2 linked regions of the Caenorhabditis elegans genome follow. The protein of the gene in region 1 interacts with the protein of each later gene in a pairwise test. Each region holds a gene or a part of one and is shown on either strand. Other genes may lie near its edges.

The links.
Region 2: the proteins of cyb-2.1 (region 1) and gfat-1 interact in a two-hybrid assay, tested with the Caenorhabditis elegans proteins (one large-scale study listed by BioGRID).

Annotation. Positions count from the first base shown.
Region 1 is NC_003282.8:10,980,861-10,990,308, reverse strand, and holds cyb-2.1 (G2/mitotic-specific cyclin-B), read right to left. Parts: upstream 4,325-9,448; 5' UTR 4,308-4,324; coding exon 3,970-4,307; intron 3,882-3,969; coding exon 3,495-3,881; intron 3,451-3,494; coding exon 3,348-3,450; intron 3,306-3,347; coding exon 3,180-3,305; 3' UTR 2,883-3,179; downstream 1-2,882. Other genes in the region: Y43E12A.3 (BTB domain-containing protein), read right to left, coding at 1,254-1,373, 1,427-1,599, 1,643-1,796, 1,846-1,962, 2,015-2,401; Y43E12A.2 (3CxxC-type domain-containing protein), read right to left, coding at 5,727-5,849, 6,571-6,669, 6,716-6,856, 6,969-7,201, 7,367-7,457, 8,124-8,240.
Region 2 is NC_003280.10:11,588,222-11,599,655, forward strand, and holds gfat-1 (glutamine--fructose-6-phosphate transaminase (isomerizing)), read right to left. Parts: upstream 7,189-11,434; 5' UTR 7,162-7,188; coding exon 6,486-7,161; intron 6,412-6,485; coding exon 6,373-6,411; intron 6,244-6,372; coding exon 6,211-6,243; intron 6,160-6,210; coding exon 6,103-6,159; intron 5,850-6,102; coding exon 5,569-5,849; intron 5,521-5,568; coding exon 4,678-5,520; intron 4,633-4,677; coding exon 4,429-4,632; intron 4,376-4,428; coding exon 4,331-4,375; 3' UTR 4,172-4,330; downstream 1-4,171. Other genes in the region: ints-7 (Integrator complex subunit 7), read left to right, coding at 1-168; F07A11.1 (uncharacterized protein), read right to left, coding at 303-427, 480-763, 911-1,129, 1,781-1,962, 2,020-2,115, 2,187-2,384, 2,447-2,721, 3,000-3,146 and 2 more; npp-5 (Nuclear pore complex protein 5), read right to left, coding at 8,704-9,000, 9,057-9,302, 9,484-9,932, 9,979-11,002, 11,055-11,261, 11,310-11,422.

The sequences.
Region 1 (9,448 bases):
TTATTTTCCACTGTTTTTTAAAAACGAGGGCTCCAGCATGAATTTTCCCAAACTTATATTCTACATTCTATTCTATAAGAACTTCGAAGGTATTTGGTAGTTTATTCTTTTGAAAAAATGATAATATGGTGCACTGCAAATATCCAAAAAAACTTTCTGAAGTTTTTGAATCTATCATTGGAACAGAAAATAATAACTTCAAATTTCAAACCATATTCAGGCCTACAACAATAGAAGAAAGAACTCCGATGAAAATGAAAATATTCAAAGAGAAAAAAGTCCATATATGTTGCGAGTTGCTCTATTTCGTGAAGCTCATCCATCTTCCATACCTCCCTTCTTCTTGTAAAAGAGTGAAGAAGGAGGATTTAATTGTATTACCGATGACAAATTGGTAAGAAAACCCAGAGATAATGAAAGTAGAATAGAGTTAGAGATAGAAAGAAGAAAAAGATTTCAAAATGGAAAGACATACTTTCGAGAACTCTTTGAGAAGTTGACACAATTCTGACACAAATTTTGAAATTTAAAATTTCTATAGAGACTATAACAGGTTTCACGAAAAGATTTCGGCACATTTCTTTGAAATTTAATATTCGATGGATTAGGGTATTGTTATACAAATCGAATAGAAAAAGGAAAAGAAATTGAGAGATTGAGAGAGTGAAAAGATCAGAATGTTTGTTCTCAAAGGCAAATGAGCTCTTATGAGATCTCAACGGAGGATCTATCGCGCAGGCGGGAAACTATGTGTAATATAGAAATTGGTAGACAATAAACAATAATATTCATCAATTGATAAGCATTTTAAATTTTATTCTAGAGGATTAAATATATACACATTTTTTTTATTTTTGAGATGAAATAATAATACAGCAACTAATATTATTTCGAATAAAATTCGAAATTGGAGACAAACCGCGAAATTGAAATTTAACAAAGTTCATGTCTTATCATTGAATGAATCTACTCGAGCACTCAAATTACACTGCATTAATTGCACACTTTCGAACACACAAGAACTTGTCAGCTGTCTCTTCTGAACATTTTGAACTACATATGTTGCAATTCTAACTTTCTGTAATGAAAATAGAACAAATTTCATTATTAAAACGATGTGAATAACAATGGTACAGTAAGCATGGTAAAAATATGACAGATTGTTTGGTGAGGATCTTTGCGATATAAAGCTGATAGAAGCTTCTTTTAAAAAAATAATGACGTGATTAGAATTATGAATAACGTGTGCAGGTCTACAGAGTGCTTAGAATGCGGTCCAGAATCAGGGCTTTCGTCTTGCAACTTAATACTTGAATTTGGTCTTGGCATTTCTTTATTTCTTCTAAAGATCGCATCTTGGCAAGTTTGGAGCCCTGAAATTGTTTCAATTCATCACCTGATAATAAATTAAAAAAAAAACACTCACCATCAACTCCCGTAGCCCGAACGCTTGTGCCAAGTGAAGTGTGTCTCCTAATTTGTGCCGCCCGTATTTAACCAGCCATTTGTCAGCAACTTCCAACACGATTGAAATTTGAAGTGATTTTCCAATTCGAAGAATCCGTTGAATGTGTTCGAATTGCTCAACCAAATCACTCTCTAGAAAAAAACTGGTTTATTCAACATTTTTAATTCAAAAAACCTTTGATCCACTGCTTTGGAGGCAGATGAGGTGGATAGATAATGTTAAGAATTCGACGAAAATCCGGCGCAGAGATATTGCACAACTCCAAGGATCTTTCATCGAAATTAGTGACAAATGCTTCCAAGAAGATAGGCGAAGCCATTGAGAGAATCTTTAAAATAATAGTATTGGAATTTCATTTTAATGTTGTTCAAATTTACCATTCGATTTACATGGAATTTAACGCCATCCACCAGAACTATAGTGTCTGAAAAAATGGGGATTGGTCGTGCGAAGTCGATGTAGTTCCGAAGTTGAATTCCTTTTGACTGATTTATCTGGAACACTTTCACAAAACGTAGATGAATTTGAAAATGCATTCAAAATTACCTGCATAAATATGTGAACACAGAGATGGATTTCTGAAGAATTTAATTTGCCCACAACCGTTCCACAGTTGGGAATCTCAATTTCTTGACCTTGATTCGAAAATTGGGAATCTACTTGTACCTCGCCTTTCAGCCAGTCTTGTTCAAAATGAATTTTGACTGTTGCATCCATACTCCAGATATCATCAACATTTCTCCTCCGGTGCCGAAGCTTGATCGAAACTACGTCGGTTCCAAGTTCTTCGCTCCATTCGGCATGCAATTTCATTTTCCAGTTTGTGTCGAACATGTGGAAATCAGGGAATTTAATTGAATCGAGTGACAGTCCTTTTCCAATAATTACTCGAGTGTCATTCACCTCTACAAAAGTCCCCGGTGCCTCCACCATTGATACCTGAAAATGTACTCAAAATAATTATTAATTAATACTTATTTATGAGGAGGAAATAAAATGAGATGTTTATAAAACTTATTGATCGGAACTCTCAGTCAGTGAAATTTTGAACTTGATATGATTTTAAGAAACGCTGAATAGTTTTATTAGTTTTTTGAAAACTACCAAGCACATAAAAATTCAGCGTTTAAAAATGAAGACATCTTTTAAGTAAAAATTTTTTAAATCTGCGCAAGCACTCGAATTTTCAGGAAAAAAATGGAACGCACCAGGTGCTAAAAATAAATATGATGATAGTCCTCGCGGATTACACGAAGCATGGAAGAGGCTTTTAATGTGGCCGTCGGTTTTGAAAACGCGCGCTGTTCAAAAAATATTACTTTCCCAATTTTTTAATTTTTTAGAAAAAGGCAAATAAACTATTTAATGCAAGATTAGCTTGTATCTGGTTGTTTTAATAATGTTGTAAATTTCTACAATTTAGTACAAGATTTATGCTTATTTCATTTAACATTATTTAATAGCACATAGATTTCATCAGCAAGTTTTTGCTCATTCTAGTTAAAATATCAGATTTGGACAGGAGTGAAGACTAAATAAGTTAGTATGAGATAGATACAAAAGAAGGTGCGAAAAAGATTTGATACGATGTGTTAGAGATTTCGAAGATTGGGGAAATGGAACAGAAAAAGTACATGAATATAAGCCGAAGGTAAGTGCAATGGGGAAACAAGCAGAACACAGGAACGTATTGGGTGATGAAGTATAGTTCTCATTCCATTTCTGATGTTTCAGCTTCTGAAGCCTCAACGTTGCGCCCCATCCGGTGAATTTTCTCCAAGATTTCGTCGGTCATCAAGTAGGATACTCGTCCAAACTTGCTCGACTGGTACTTTTCCTGAAAACAAAACTGAGTAAACATTTTGTAAAAATATATTACTCTAATGGCGCAAAGCTTCTGATGTCTGAAGTTTTTATATGCGACTTGAGCGAGCAGAGCGATAGCATCATAAATATCTTGCTTGGAGGCTCCTAATTGTTTGCTGAAACAAATTCTTGTAAAATTTTCGAAAAAAATTGAATCTACCGAATCATCGATGCAGCAGTCTTCGGATTAATTCCATCAACGGTGATAACATTGAGAGTGATGATCATCGAAGCACTGGCAACGTGCGACCTTGGAACCGTAGACATGACCGAATCGAGCAATGCGAGTTCTCCGAGACACTTGGAGATATTGTGCACATAATAGAACGCTTCCTTATCGATTGGATTGACGTCATTCTCTGTGAGAGTTTTTGAAATACAGCGGAGGAAGACAAGCGAAGATGGGCAGGACAAGTCAAAGTTCAAGGCGTTGAGGATGGTCTGTTCCATAGCCATTATCTGCTTCTTGCTGAATGTGTTATCAGTGATCATCTCGTATTCGAGGATGTCTGGCAAGTAAATATCTTCGAATTTGGAGGCAACGAACCTGAAATCATTAATATTGCATAAAAACTATTGTTAATTTTCTGATCTACAAAAGATTATCTATAATTTTACAAAAAAAACGATCTTACAAAGCTGCAACACCGAGAAGCTGGAATTCCGCCTTGGAGACAATGTTCTTCACGATAATTCGATCCAGAACGAAAATCGTCAGGTGAAGCGTCTCAGGGGTGAGGTGGAAGCGAAGATGAACTTGGATAAGCCAGTCAACAAGGATGCGGCGCATCTTAGAATTAACATTTCCTCCATTTATGAAGCTGTCGTCAAGAACATATTTCTTCTCGTGATGAACAAGGTAGTTGTAAATGTCTTCAGCCATAGCGATACAATTCAACACTTCCTCCAGGTTTGTTCTTGGCCCAACGGCATTTTTCGTGGTTTTTCTAATGCTTGTAGTAACTCGCAACATTTTATCGAGACCTCCGGCTGAAAAAATTAGTCTTAAAAAAAGTATTATACAAAACTTTAGATAAAAATATATGAAGGAAGAATTAGTATTTAACAAAATATAGGCAAATTGCAACTATCAGGAAAAATAGATAAATTGGTTTTGAAACGCCAAAAATTTAGGAAAATGAAAAAGGAGCCACACACAAAAAACAGAATACAAATTGTGCTGCGCGCGCGCCAGAAAAAAAAACTTTTTTTCAGGTATGATGTGCAGGTGTGGTGGTTTACTGTAGCGGGTTAGAATTTCAAGTCTAGATTATCAATAAATTTAAAATGGACAGAACTTCTTCAAATTTTCATATTATTTTTTACAGTGTATAAGTCGCTGCTTTGAATTTCAAAAAAAAAAAGATGACAGTTTTCAATATTTCATAGCGACTCTGGCAGTTCACCAAAAATAGTGACTCTGGCAGTTCACTAAAAATAGTGACTCTGGCAGTTCACTAAAAATAGTGACTCTGGTTGTTCACCAAAAATTGTGACTCTGGCAGTTCACCAAACATAGTGACTCTGGCAGTTCACTAGCTCTAAAGTTTCCATTCTAGGTCCAATATTACAGTGCTTCGTTACAGTACTATTTTAGAAGGGGTAACGAGGAATTTTTTGGAAAAAAAATCGTAAAGAGAGTAACGAGGATTTTTTTTGAAAAAAATCTGTAAGGGGGGTAACGAGGAATTTTTTTGGAAAAAAAAATTGTAAGCGGGGGAACGAGGAAATTTTCGCGAAAAATAGTAGGGGGGGGGGGGGGTAACGAATTTTTTAATCTATGTGTTCCCAGAATAATTTACTCTCTGAGTTCACTAATAAATTTACTCTCTGGGTTCACTTAAAATTTTAAGAATATTTCAAATATATTTCAAATATATTTCAAATATATTTCAAATAGAAAAAAAAACAAGACTTCTAAGTGGGTGTGTTTAAGATTTCTATATAATTAAAGTTTTATTCTCAATACACTTTTATTACTCTCTTGAAACCTACACTTATTATTACAAGACCGGGGTGTGAATGGTGAAAAGAAAACAATTATAAAATTTTTACACAGACAAAGAGTATAGAGATGAAGAAGAAATAAAAGTGATCATCAAATATATAGAAAGAGTTTTTCAGGATGAATAAATTCAGAAATTTACAGAGTACCTGGAGACAGTTGAGAAAGTGGTCGGGCGGCATGGAAAGTGTGGGATGGGAAAGGGAAAATGGTTTAGGAACGACATGTACACACAAAATAGAAAAAGTGGAGAAGAATTGAAAGCTCTCTGATTTTCATAGAAATCTAGCAGAAATTTTGTGAAGAAAACAATATGATACAAATAGGATGGACAAATGGGTTCCTATATCGACTAGAGAATGTTATTTTGTTTCATTGTCAATAAAATCAATGACGACGTGATATCTCTTCGTGTTTCCGTGCTGGAGGTCTTCCGTGTCCAATTGGGGCTACTTTTGTGACATTTTGAGCCTTGATGAGACCAAGTGTCACTGCTTTTTCTACGGGCAACTGAAAAAAAAAAATAAAGTTGAATAATTTTTATAGAATTTTAAATGTAATTTCTCAGCTTTGGAAAATTAAAACCAGACATTCGTTCATGAATATTTCAAAAAATGTTCAGTTTTTTTCGAATTTACCGTTAAAGTTTTGGTAAATTTCCTAAATTTCAAAAAAAAACATTTACTTTTTGAGAGAAACGAGCACTGCTGGTTTTAACCTTACATTATTTGAATTCAAATACAAATAGTTAAAATATAAAAACAATTACATGTTGAATTTCAAAGTTAGGGATAACTAAAGATTGAGTAAATGCCACCTTTGGACTGTAACTAAAAACATAACAAAGTGAACAATTTGTGAATTATTGTAATATTATATTTGGTCAACGCTTCATAAATGATTGAATTAGAAAAGCAGTTAATCAAAACTAGCATGTTTGGGTTACTGTATGTGGTTGTTTAGTGAAAAAATGCCAAGATATGGGTGGGCCTGTTTGTTAATGTGTGAATTTTGTTAACCATAAATTTATTTTAAACGATAGAGGTAATGCCGAACATACTGCACAAACGTCTTCGGATTGAGATTAAAATTTACGCTTTAACTAGCTTAATGGAATCATCAGGACACTCAACAGTTGGCAGAGCACTTCAAGTTTACTAGATGTTTTCCTTATCACGAGATTCAGAAAACTCATTAGCTGACACTATTTTCTTTCGAATTCAATACTTACTTGTTTGTGTGGAAATACTGGAACATGACACTTTATACAACTTTGTGGTTCGTTTGCAACACTGTTTTGGCTGTTCCACTTGCGTTTACACAGTTGACACTGAAACATTAACAGTCATACATGGAATCGAAATTCCAAAACTTACAGTGAACTCTCCATAACACTTCTTTCTGCCTTGGTAAGGTGTCAGCTCATCATATGGAGTGTTGAATCGCTGTGGACAGTCGGAGATGTAATGATGTCCTGTAGCGTAGCAGATGTGGCACTGGTAGCGTGGTGGAGGGGTCTGAAACGTTTTTTCGATAAAATAAAATATTAATCTCCATATTTGCAAGTCAAAAATTAAAATTTTCTACAGAATATTCTAAATTTCCCTCAATTTTCATCCCCTCACCAACCTTCTTTGGAGAAGACAAAAGTTCTGCAAAACCAGCAATTTCTGCCATCGAAAATCCATCTACTGCAGCAAGACCCTGAGCAGATGTCTGTGAAACTTGTGCTTGTTCACGTTGTTGTTGAACTTCTGGAACAGGCTTCACAGCCTGCGGACTCGGTGAAACTCCAAAATGACGAGTGATTTCTTCTGGACTTTGTGCTGAAAACGCTCGTTGGACTTGAAGCGGAAGCACAGCTGAAATCAAATGTTATTCCGTTGAAATTTAAATGCTCTTTACAATTTTTTGGATTTCGTTTTTTTTTCGACTGCAAAATGCAGAAAATATTAAAGTATCGTTCAAAAAAATTTGCATTACTCTCGCTTTTTCAACTTATCAATGATAAAGAAAAATAAACTTACAACTGAATATATCATTTGAAGGTGACGCTAAAGGTGTTCGGGTCGGACTACCATATCCGCTGCTACCTGACTCATCATTGATATTTTGAGCCTGAAAAAAAAACAAATTATTCGTGATCCACATGTTTCAATCAGGAAGTGAAAATATTCATTCAGTTTTTGCTTTTTTCCTCGGGGGAAAGATATACATATGTACATTTCCTTGTTTACTTTTAGAAATTATAGAGTGGAACTGATGCATGAGGATGAGACTTAAGGGATTACACCATTGAATTAATTTTCATAGATTTTTATTCTACTTTTAAAATTTAAAAAAAGTTGTTTTCTTATGTTTAAATTATTTTATCTGAAAACTGAGTTTTCACCACTTTTTGAAAGAAAACATTATAAAAAATTTAAACATTTTCTTATGATATTTGAGCACTATAGGAGTGGCTTGAAAAAATTTTCTCACTGACAAAAAAATCTTTCTAAAAATTGAATAATTACTCTAATTTCTGAAAAAAATTGCGGTCTATAAGCGCTTATCTGATAAGTTTTTTTCATCAATAAAATGATTTTTTAAATCAAAATTTCATATTTCTATAATCATTTTTTTTCTTCATTTACATTTAATAAAACTTTCCACCAAATTTTTGAAATTGAAAACTGTTACGTACTACTACTATATGGCTATCTCGAAAAAATTTTAAAAATATATTTAAATTTTTCAATTTGTGATCAGTGAACGTAAAGTTCAAACGAAAAAAAATCTCACCTGTGACATAATACGTGTTGGCGGTGATGATCTTTCGCTTGACGACGAATTTCCCGAATCAACATCTTTCAAGTTAAAGACGGCCAGATCGAGTGCCAGACGGTCATAGGCAAACATTCTGAAAAATAGACATGTATATTTTTCTACAAAAAAAAGTAATGACAATGTACTTATAAGGAATTTTTGGAGAAAAGCAAGGGAAAAAAGGGCAATACTATTTTAATAATAAGGTGTGTAGAGTTCAGTTTTTGGAGAGGGGTAATCAGCGTATATCAAGAGTTCTGAAGTTTTTTATGATAATGTTTTTGGTTTATGAAAGATGAATAAAAAGTTCATGTACTTTTGAGGCGAAAGTTAAGAAAATCAAAACAACCGGAAATATAATTTCAATCAGAATAACAGTATTTACTATTTGAACTGGTAGAGAGCATGAAGGTGAGAGAAACCCAGAGAAAACAAGAAAACGAACCGCAAAAAGGCATTGAAAAGAACGATTGTATGCATATTCATGTATATTTTTATTATCACTATGTCACCCTTCCTCTCGTTCACCTTTTCCTCCCGTACTACACACAAGGACCCTCGATGAGGTGGCAATGACCGGCAAGAGGAAAGGTGGAAACATTAACAAAAGTTTTTGAGAATCGCCAAAAAATATTAAGGCAGGCGGAAAAAAAACGAGGAAAGGGTTCAAAGTGGGAGAAAAGGAGAATGGCGACACGACGAGCGGATGAGATAGGAGAAAAACGGAGGCAAAACGCAAAACGACTTCTCGAATTTCACGACATGAGTTTTCTGATGCGTCGAGATATATAGGATGCACATGCAAAAGAAATGGAATACAAGAAGTAAGATTAAAGGAGAATATATGTTTATAATCAGATTAGATTTAAATTTAATGACGGTCAGGGTGGGGATTCAAATGGGAAGTTTGTGGCATCAACAGCTGAGCCTTCCCGTGGAAAAAATTACTCAATCATTAAGTAGATAAAGAATAATTCCGAGTAGATACCGTATTCTTCCCTATTTTACTTGAACCCCTTCGTTCTACTACAACAGCTACCTATTTTTAACAAACCACCTATTTTTAGAGGTAGTTTGAAAACTTCTCAACTAGCTCCTAGAACAATGGGTTGTTAAACATTTTTATCAGTAGAACTCTATCGAACCCCTAGACACATTTATCGTTTGTCTAAAAAAAAGTTTCCAATTTTTTTGATAACTTTTCATTTTTGTCAGCAACCTCCTTGACTTTCAGGTAAATACTATAAGAGAACGATCCCCAAAGCCGAGAGAACACATAGGTCAACGAGACGCAGACACAA
Region 2 (11,434 bases), on another chromosome or scaffold:
CAAACATCACGAAAGCAGTGGAAAGCGTATAATGTGACGACACTTCACTTCACAGTTCGCGAGAAATATTCATCGGTCGGATTCGAGCTGAAACGAGTCGGACATCAATTTCCACCGGATCCCAGGAGGCACTTTCCGAAAGGATCGTTGTTTCATGCTGAGGCGTGAGCAGAGAAATAGAGCATATCGTGAATAATTTTGAATTTGAACCATTTTTCCTTCTTTTTTTATTTAAATCGACACAAAAATAATATTTATTTCGATTTTAAAAATAACTAGAAATTGTTGAAACTTTAATGAAATTAAGAGTGCCAATTAGCTTGATGAGGTAAAATTGTCTCACCACGATTAACAAACAGGGTGGTCTTCCGTTCCATGGGCCGAGCACACCGAGCACAACGACGACAGGAGGTGGTAGCATGGGCAACTGAAAAGTTTCAGATTCATCTAATGAAATTAAATTTGAATTCAAACAATACCTCCATCTAATGCTGCTCCAGAAATGCTCTTCATAGCGTTATCCTGTAAAACTGCAAACTTTCGATCGTATTTCTCATGAGCTTCTCGCCAGGCAGCTTCAACTCTAGGATCCGGTTGAACAATTATCGGACGGCTTTCAGTTTTGGTCAATGGGTACAACATTTTCGAATTTTCATGCAACTGATCTCTCAATTTATCATATTTTGCTCTTCGATTATCTCTCATCACCATATCATCATGAGCTTGACGAGCTTTAAATTCTTCCAGCATTCCAATTGATTGTCTGAAAAAATCTTATTTTTGGATCATTCGCAGCGCGGTTTTACTTCGTGGCCGTGAAATAAGAAGCCTCGGTCAAATCAGTGGCCGAGTTTTTCCTTTTCTCTAGGCCACGTAGCAAAAACCGTTCTGCGTGAAAAAGAAAACGAACTTGAAAGTCTGATTCCTTTCAACTTGATTTGTATGTTTTAACCCCTTCAATCGAGCATCTCTCCATCCATGTTCATCTGGTCTCTCAGCCCACCACAACCAATTTTTATCCGACGGAGCACCGACTCTGCTCATTTCCATTTGGAATTCCAACTGTTTTCGAGCCATTTCTTTAGCATGTTCAATGGATTTTCGTTCCGCTTCTCGAGCATTCGCAAATCTGAAAACATTATAGGCGTAGGTAGGCGTAGGCACTTGAACAGGCATAGCCTATGAGTGCGATAAGATTGAGGTAAGAATGAGGTTCGCGTGTAGGCAGGCATGAGGTAGGCCGCCAGGCCAGTTGGCAAAAACCATGGAATAGGGATAAACTAGGCATATAGGCAGGCAAAATATACGCATGTGATAAGCACAAAGGCAGATAGACATGAGGCCTATAGGCAGGCTCGTAGGCAGGCGTGAGAAATGGAATGGGTAGGATAGATATGAAATATATATATATAGATATGGAATATGTAGGTTTGAATTCGACAATCACTGTAGCCGGCGTGAGATAGGCAACAACTAGGCAAGAGGTAGGCAATCAGGTAGGCATGAGATAAACATTTGGCAGGAGCATTGTGAGGGACCGGTCTTAGAGAACACTTAGGCAAGGTAGGCATGTTCTACAAATGAGGTAGGCGTGGGATAGGCATATAAGGCTTGAACTAGGCATGAAGGTGGTCTAGAGGAAGAAGCCTACCTAGTGCCTTTTCAGTTCTTGCCGCTTTCAAAACAAAACGGTTTTTGAAATTTGTGTGCGACATTAAATTTTAGATTTCTCTGTATGAATCTTGGATCAAAATACTAAAAACAAAAGTAAACAACTTACTCCAGCGCGGCTCTCGCATTGCTCGTCGCATCAATCGCCTCATTTTTCTCAAATTCGGCAATCCGTCTCAATCGTTTCTCTTCGACTTGTCTATCGAGTTCTGCTCGGTATGCATCCTTCCGTGTACGCACTTCAACATCTCGACTTCTAGGAGATTCGTGTCGGAATATATAGTTTTCCAGCTGAAAATATATACAACTGACTCTGAGAAAGAACATTAAAGTGAACAGATTGCGTACTACTGGGGATTTAGGTCTTCTCTTTTTCATCTCAATCATTTCAGCATTCACACGATCGACATGATCTCGAAGAGCTTTATTCCGTTCCGCTTCTTCCTGAAATTAAAAAAATTTATTGTAGAGAAATTAATTATTGAAAATAACTCCCACAATAGGTCATAACTAACCCTTTTAAAAGTTTCTTCCTTTTCCCTTGTCAAATCTTCATACATCTTTGCTCTCTTCATAGTTTCTTCATATTTTCTCCGTTCCTCTTCTGCTTGACGTCTCATTCGATCCATATATGCATCCTCGGCTTGACACTGAGCACAGATTTCATTACCGTAATAGTCTTCATCAAATTTTGTAATTGTTGCTTTGATTTTCTGAAAACAAATTTTTGGTTTTTTAGTGAACTTCTCGTCGTTGGCAAATTTGGTAATCGTACCTCATTACCACTTTCGAATCGAATATTCCCCAGGTTTTGTTCAATCTCAATCATAGGATCCTGATATTGTCGCTCTGCTCCGAATCCATTCATTACACCTCTATCCACGTCTCTCCCAATATTCTCTCCCAAATTGAATTTCATGTTCATTGGAGGTGTAGATATTCCACGTGGCATTGGATCGTTCGGATAGATTTCCGATGGAAGATCCATTTTATAACGATCAATGTTGGGTAAGGAAGTGTCAGCACCACCCATAAGATTGGCGGGAAGAACTGGAAATGCTAGAAAAAATACAGGAGAAAATATTAATCTTTTTTTTTTTGAAATATTGAGATTTGTTGCTAACCTGGCAAATCGGAGATTTGCTAGTCGAATTAAAAAATGTTAAAAAAGGAAAACTTATAAGTTACAATGAAAACACATAAACTTTTAATAAATCGTAAGAAAAACTATGAAAACTTTGAAATTACAGTACTCTTAAAGGCACACAATTTCCGCATTATGAAGAAACCTACAGTAACCCTGATGAAGAAACCTACAGTAATCTCACCTAAACTCGCATCATCTCTTCCAAAATTCGAGATATTCGCCGGAAGATCCATCATTTCTCGACTGGGATCCGGATCTGTCAAATAATGATGCATCCCGGCAATTGGTGGGGTTCCATTCATTGGTGGTGGTGTGTCTAAAGGTGAAACTGAAAATTAATTATTTGTTGTGAAATCTGATTTTCTTAATTCTACATTGTGTTGTATAATTCTTCATCATTCTCGGCTCATCTGGTGGACGGAATCGTGGAGCTTCAAAGTTATCCAGTGCTTCTGAATTCATCGTTTAATTATAGTTTCGTAAAAGATTCGACATTTAATTTTAAAGGCCCACGCTGCTTTTCCAAATGGGTCCCGCCACGATCGCAGATATAGTAGTGTTTCAAATTTCACATATTTGTTGATTTAATATAGACAAATAAGTTTTGTAATTAAGAAATTCCAATTCCGCAAAAAATGTTTTTTTCTAATCTAAAACCAATGCCGGAGGGGGGGGGTGTGCGCCTTTAACTGATTACGGTAGTTTAAAAAATCGATTTCGCAACTTTCTTCTATTTTTATAGGTTTTTTGCTGTTGGTTTATTTGTATTTTGAAATTTTTTGGTCAATATCAAAAAGGGAGCAATCAATTAAGAAAATTAGAGGAAACAACTACCGTACTCCGCTTAAAGGCGCACACGTCTTTTCAAGAAAATAACACCATTTCTTTTGTTTGTTCCAGGACCCAGAAACATAATTTCTATCTATATTCACTTCACATGATTCAAACCTCTTATCTTATCAGCTTCACTCGGCTCTCGATTTCCCATACGATCATAAAAGTAGACTTTTCCGTACCGCATCCGCAATAATTATAATAGTATTTATATAAATAGGAGGTGTCCTAGAAAATTGAAAAACGCTAAACTAATATAATGACTTGTTGGCGGGTGAGCTCCCTCCGAGATTCAGAATTAGTGCACACTTCACTGCACCAACTAAACTTCCGTAGGTATCTACGAAAAGCAGATCTGCACCGGAAAAGAGGTAAACATTCAGTTTTATTTATATTTACTTTTACTCAGCCTACAAGTTTGAATTTTGCTTATGAAAAGTTGAAACTTCTTCGATCCCAGCATACTAGAGGTGTTCCCAGTTTTCTCAATGCTCAACAAGTGCATAGTATGCACTGCATACCGGAAACCACATTTTATTGGTCGAATCGCTGGGTATACCAGATTACATGCAATAAATTAGGGAAGGCAATTGGTGAGGGAAATATAATCACAGAGTGGGAGAAAAGACGAGATGGTGAGAAGGCACTTGGGGTGGTTTGGGCAGAAGACGGGACGCTTTACTCGACGGTAACTGACTTGGCCAAGTTGCGGGGTCGGTCGACCTGAAAATAGATTATACGTGTACATTTCAAGATTAAGACGATTGTAAACTTACATTAGCTCCATTGAGCTCAGCAATGTGATATGAGAGTAGCTGGAGTGGAATGACTGTGAGAATGTTTTGGACACAATCAACAGTTTTTGGTACACGAAGAATATGCTTCATTCCAGCGAGATCGCCTTCTGGAACGGTGCAGTCGGCAATGATGATTGGAGCTCCTTTGCGAGCAACGACTTGTTGAAGTGCATTCAACGATTTCTGAAAAAATGATTTCAATCAAAAAACAATTCAGCTCATTCTTACCTTGTATACGCGATCGTTACAAACAACCATGCAGATGCTGAGGAACTCATCGACCATGGCAAGTGGACCGTGCTTCAGTTCTCCAGACATGATTCCTTCGCAATGCATGTAGGAAAGCTCCTTGATCTTGAGAGCTCCTTCGAGGCATGTGGCAAAGTTCAATCCTCTTCCCATGATGAGAAGTGATTTCTCCTTGTAGATTTGTTTGGCGATATCAAGAACTTTCTCGTCGAGTTGGAGAACTTCGCGGATAAGTTCTGGAAGATCGTTGAGAGCGTCAATGATCTCTTCACGTCTCTTAGCCATGGAGATTCGGTCATCGGAGAGGGTGAGAGCAAACATAAGCAAGGATAGGATCTGAGAAGTGTAGGCCTTGGTAGAGGCGACTCCAATTTCCGGTCCGGCGTTGATGTGAATTCCGCAATGAGATTCACGGCAAATGGATGATCCGACAGTGTTGGTGACTCCAATTGTGAGAGCTCCACGTGGCTTGCAGTATCTGAGAGCCAACAACGTATCGGCAGTCTCTCCACTTTGAGAAATGAAGAGACATACATCATCACGGAAGATTGGGGTTTCACGATCCAAGAAGTCAGAAGCAAGTTCGACGACGACTGGCAGCTCAGAAAGTTCTTCAAGGATCTGACGGCATGCGATGGCAGAGTGATAGGATGTTCCACAGGCTACCATAATCAGACGGCGGCAACGCTTGATATCAGGAAGGTACTCTTTGATTCCTCCTAGAACGACTTGTCCCGATGGAAGAACACGTCCACGCATTGTGTTGACTACCGAATCCGGTTGCTCGAAAATCTCCTTCTGCATGTACGTTTTGAAAGATCCCTGAAAAATATGTTTTTATTCAAGTTATTCCCATTTTCCTATGCAAACCTTCATGATCTCCTGAAGCTCCATCTCGAGAAGCTTTACTTCTCTCTTTTGCTCTCCATTGTCAGCGTGTCGAGAGATGCGATGGATAGTCAGAGCTCCATCCTCGACGAATGCAACGTCATCATCCTCTAGGAAAAGGACTTGCTTGGTATGCTCAATGATGGCAGCAGCATCCGAAGCGACGAAGTATTCAACCTCCCAATCGTCGGAGTCGAATGGACGGACGGCCGTCGTGCTGTCGGAGATCTCCATCTTAGCAGATCCATTAGACGAACGAACGGCTGAAAAAATGGAATTAATACGTTTCACTTAAAATTTGAGATTGGGGATATTGAGATGAGTTAGTTAATTCGCCCAAGGATTTAGAAGTGGAGAAAGAGTTCAAGAATAATCATGCTTCAAATTTCTACCGTTCAGAGAATTCATAAACGCTGACAATCTTCTCTGGGAATCATCTACATTCACCGGCAAGTTGCAAACATCTTGGGAACCTAATATGCTATTAAAAATTCATATGAAAGTGGGAACCCATACCGATTGACAGGTCCAGAATGTTGTTTGGAGTCTCGACGAACGATGTCTCATCTCGCACTGAAAAATTGAATTTAATATCAGAAGAAGGTTGGAAAATGGTAAACTTACAATGAGTAGCGTGGTTGGACATGAACCGACGTCCTGAAAAATCATATTGATTGTTAATAAAATAGATTTTTTTAAAGATCATGCAAGGTTAGGTTAGTTAAGCAGTGATTAAGCATTTCAGGCAACCAAAATAAACCCAGGGAATAGCATTTTTAAATTTACCATCAGTTTGTTTTTCGTCTCCCCATTTCCACCCAGCATCTAAAATGTATGAAATTTTTGAATGTCCGCCTCGAAACGACTTAGAAATTGCACCAAAAGTTTCAAGAACTAACCTTTAGAGAAAGAGACTGGGAAGTGATTTGTCTGGAGTCTGGAGTTGCTCTTGATACCGACCAACAATGGGGATCCACGTCTTGAAGCAACGAGTTGTCCTGGGAATCGAGATGACTTGAATGCAAGAGCGAAAGCTCCTTCCAACTGTTGAATGACAGTCTCCACAAGTTGCCGGAACGAGAAATCCGGGTAACGATCGTGAATGTGTTGCGCAAGCTTCGCGATGACTTCCGTGTCGGTCTCCGACTCAAACTTGTGTCCCTTCTTCTCGAGATACTCCTTGATTTCACGATAATTCGTAATGATTCCATTGTGAACAACGAGGAACTCATTCTTGTCGTTACTGCGATGTGGATGGGAATTGACATCACGTGGAGATCCGTGAGTTGCCCAGCGAGTGTGTGCAATTCCGCAGTGAATGTTGTACTCCATATCCATGTCAAGATCGCTGGAGCTCTCCTTGATGAAATCGCTGAGCACGGACACCTTTCCAGCTTTTCGCAGAAGTGCTACCGAAGAATGTGGTGATTCGATCTCATTGGATCCGTCGATGGCGATTCCTGCAGAGTCGTAGCCTCTGTATTCCATTCTTTGCAATCCTTGGACTAAAATATCCACGATTTCCGATCGTTTTTTCGGTGTCAGGAAGTTGAGGTAGGCGAAAATTCCGCACATTTTGGATGGTTAGTATAGGTGATACCCTGAAAATTATAAATGTTTATGAAAAGGCAGAGATTTAAATAATGCAAATTTGAGGAGAAACGTGGTGAAAATGGAAATTATGTAAAAGCGAACACATAACACGAATATGAATGAATGGATGAATGAGATTTAGAGGAGGGATTGCGACAAGTTCAGTGTAAACATTAGAAGGAATGGGCTGTGATGACCCGAGAAACGGCCGCTCCTCCCGTCTCCGCCGAAGCACCAGATACCATCTTCAACGGCCCGAACGAGGAGCCTCTTGATACTATTCTCTCGTGCCCTTTCAATAAGAAAGAGGCACGAGACGGCAGACACTTTTTGCTGCCTTTTTTGCCGTGTTGGACCACCCCAAAAACAGCACGATTAGGAGGAATTGTGAGAGGAGCGCGAAAGGAGAGAAGCCGAGAGATAGGCGGAGAAGAAGAGGAATAGAGAAACTAGGGAGACGACACGTGGAGCTCGACTCTTTCATTTCAATTTAAACATAAAATTAATTTCCTTCCTACTAGCAGGTCAGGTGTTAAAACAATAAATACACCTCATAACTTTTTAGCCTTTGAAAAATTGATAACGGCATACGGTTCTAATTTCCGGCTGGCGCATCACTGACCAACATCAGGACGAAAATTCTGTGAACCGATTCATCAAAAAATGTCTGAATACGTTGCAAGAAAGTGAAAATAGAAAGATCTCCGGCCAACTGATAACTGATAGCAGTTGGCTGACAAAGGTCAACTTTTAAATTTCTGCCCCACCGTTGCAGATATAAAATATTTGAAGGGAAAATGTTAGATTTGAGATCAAAGCACAAGCGACACGTCCAGCATTGAGAACAGTAAATTTGCATGAGAATATAGAAAAATTTTCTGCGAAAAAGCTGACGTTAAATATACGTTGCGTAGCGGTGAGAATGCAGATAAGGGGTCAACGAACAAAACAATAAGGAGAACACATCGAAAATCAAAAGATAATGAAGAGAACGACTCGCCTTTATAGACATTTTGCCGCCATTTGTTTTAATGAACTCTGCTCTTTCTTTTTTCGAGAACGATCGAAAGATCATCAAAACACAGTGTGTAGTTTGATGCCGCGGGTCTCGCAACGCTCCGGTTGAGACAGGTGTGCGCCTTTAAGTATACGGTAGGTGAGAATCCTCACTGAGGATATTTTCAGGCATGGAAATTTTCAAATTAAATGAAGAAAATATCTAAATCAAAATTTAAACCATCAACCTCTGCACAGAAAATTTTTCCTTTCCAAATATACATGGTAGTCTTGCGTCAGATCGGTAATATAGATCTTCCGCAATCTGATGACCTCTTCTTGAAGAAGATCTTCACGTGAAACCCACAGAAATCAGAAAAATTTGTTATTTTCAAATACTGCACGGATACAATCGTGTCTGTGAAAGATCGACCGGAAATTTAAAAAAAATGAGAAAGAAGTCAGAAATATAGTGATAAAAAATGGTAATCAAAACAGGTATCAAACAAAAAAACAATGAAATAAAAATTATTCGACTTTGAGATTGAGTTCTGCGTAGAAAGCTTTGATGAAAACCATCCATTCCTGATCGAGCCCGAGGTCATTATTGAAGCTTGTGAAGAAATCGTTGAAATTTGTGGTATCGTCGAGTCTCACGGCGGCTTGTGCAAGAAGGATGAAGAATTGCGGGAGGAAGAGATTCCGAATCTCCTGAATTTCTTTCCGGTGTACACGCATTGGATCTCCATTAGCACGTGGGCTCAAAAAGTACTCCGGGCGCACACCAATATTGTTAACCAGCCCACGGAGCATCGGAAGAACAGTCTGAAATTTCAATTTTTTAAAATTTTTTTCACAACAATTTATTCTAAAAATCCTACATCTAAATGTTGTTGAACCATTCCAACTCGCGTATTATGCTCGGCGGCTCTCTTTTTGAGCACCTCTTCCCGCAGAGTTTGCTCAGCACGAGCTCGGACTCTCAGTGAAGCTTCCCAGTCAGCAGCTGTGGTGTTGTCGAGTCGTTTGACTCCTCCGATCATGGAAAGCTCATCATCAGTGATCGGTGTGTACTTGAACATGAGCCCAAGTTTCAGAGCAATAGTGATCATGAAGTTGTTCACATCCTGAAAATTCGGATTTTAAAATGGCCAATATGAAATTGAATATTATTCAGCAGCGAAATTTTGAGTACGGGGTCTCGACACGACAAATTTTTGTTCAATACGAGACGGTTTGCACCTTTAAAGATTACTGTAATTTTAACCAGTGGTTAAAGATTCCGCTGATTTGGATAAGAAATCATACCACGAAAGAGCAGAGCCCATAAAATTCCAGAGCCGCGTGTTCGATTTTATTAATTGCCAGCTGCGATCCAGGTTTTTGCTCAAACAGGGTTCCATCAGTGATCAGTGAAAGTACAGTTGCTTCATTTTCAACAGCTTGTGACAATAGCTTAGGAACTTCGAAATGAAGCGCTTTTCGAATAATTTGCCTAATTACAGACTCGTCAATCGGTGTCGACAGCATCACTTTACGAACTAGTCGATTACATTCTTCAAGAGCAGCCAGTGCAGTCTCTTCTCCACCTATCAAAAGCCAATGCCAGTGATCAATCTGCTCTTCCAAAGTTACAACCTTCGTTTTGTCATCTTTTCTGATTTGCTCAATAAGTGTGCACGCACAGCGTCCGAAATCAATGTCAGATTGTTTCAGCGACTCAGCCAGGATTTCACGTTCTTCATCAGAATCGACAGCTGAAAAGAGAATTTTTTTAAAAATCATCATCAGTTTTTAAATTACCTTTCATAGTCTCCACAATCTCTGGAAGCTTCATATCTTCTGGGAGGAATCTTGAATAAAATGCAGCCATTTTCTTGTGTGATGAGGTTCCACTGCGTGCACGAAGATCATCGAATCCAAGAATAATTACAGCATTTCCATCGTCATTTGGTTCGAAACCACTCGCATAAGAAACTGCGACGAGGTGGAAGAAGATGTCGAGTGCGAGCATGTTCACTTGACAATTTTTATCATTTGGAACAAATTCTCCGACTGTTTCATTTGCGAACTTGTACAGATCTTCAATGTCATCATTGAGCATGTCATCGATCACTCGGAGTAGGATGTATACTTCTTTGGTACGATCAGCCTCTGATCTCAGCTCATCTAAGATTGATTTTGAAGTTAGTGGAACGTTGAACAACGTCGAAATAGTTTCCTGTGTCATGGCTCCCTCGGCGGCAAGAATTCTTGCGAGAACTGCAGAATTTGCATATGCCCATACTTTTTCAATCACTGACTTTCCAGCTTTTAGCATTGGTTGGATATTCCCACGAATCGCAGAAATCAGCATCCAGTAAGCATCATCTTCGCTCCCCTGCGATTGTTCTATCAATTTCTGTGTCATCTGGTAGTACTTTGCGCGTCGAGATCTTTTATATTCCCCAAAGTTCTGTTTAGATGCCTCTAGTGGAATATCAAGTGGGTTCCGGAGCATCGAGTGAAGCTGAAGTTGAGCTCCGATCGCTCCCATTCCTAGATCAATGGCTAAATTCGCAGCTTTGGAAGTTTCTCCACTTCGAATTAATTGGAAGAAAACGTTCATCGCCATTTGCTCGAGAGCTTGATCTTCTTTGGTACCAGGAGCATCTGGATCCAGTGAAGCATCTTTTGGAGCATTGGCTGCTCCAAATGTTGGTCGTTTCAAAGCCATCATTGAATTGATTCTAGAAGATTTGATTCCTTCGAGTTTCCGAACTTTGTCTCCAAGACCTTTTTCATATTGCTGTTCGCTGATCGCTTTCTCACTCCAAAGAAGAAGAGCCTAAAAAATTAGAAATTATGTGTTTAATTGAATAAAAAGTCTAAGATCTTACATAAATCCTTCTAAACTCCACATCTTCTACAACTAGTTTGCTAAGCAAAGAAACTTCCACAGTCTCATCATATTCATGAGCCAACGCGGTATAAATTGAAAGAACACTGGCGATTTGCACGGCTTCATTCGCGTATTTTTGTGAACTGGCGGAATAATTAGATCCTGCAGGAAGTTTTCGAGTCTGCATTTCTACTTCTGAATAGATCTGAAAAAATATTACATTTATCAGAGGCCTTTTTCAAGTGAATCAAACCTCATGAAGTCTGGTCCACATAAGTGGCGAGATTTGCCCTTGAGGAATATCGAACTCTCCGAAAGCCAATGCACATAATTCGTGGTACAGTTTTTCTGAGAGATTTGTGTGAACTGCAAATTATA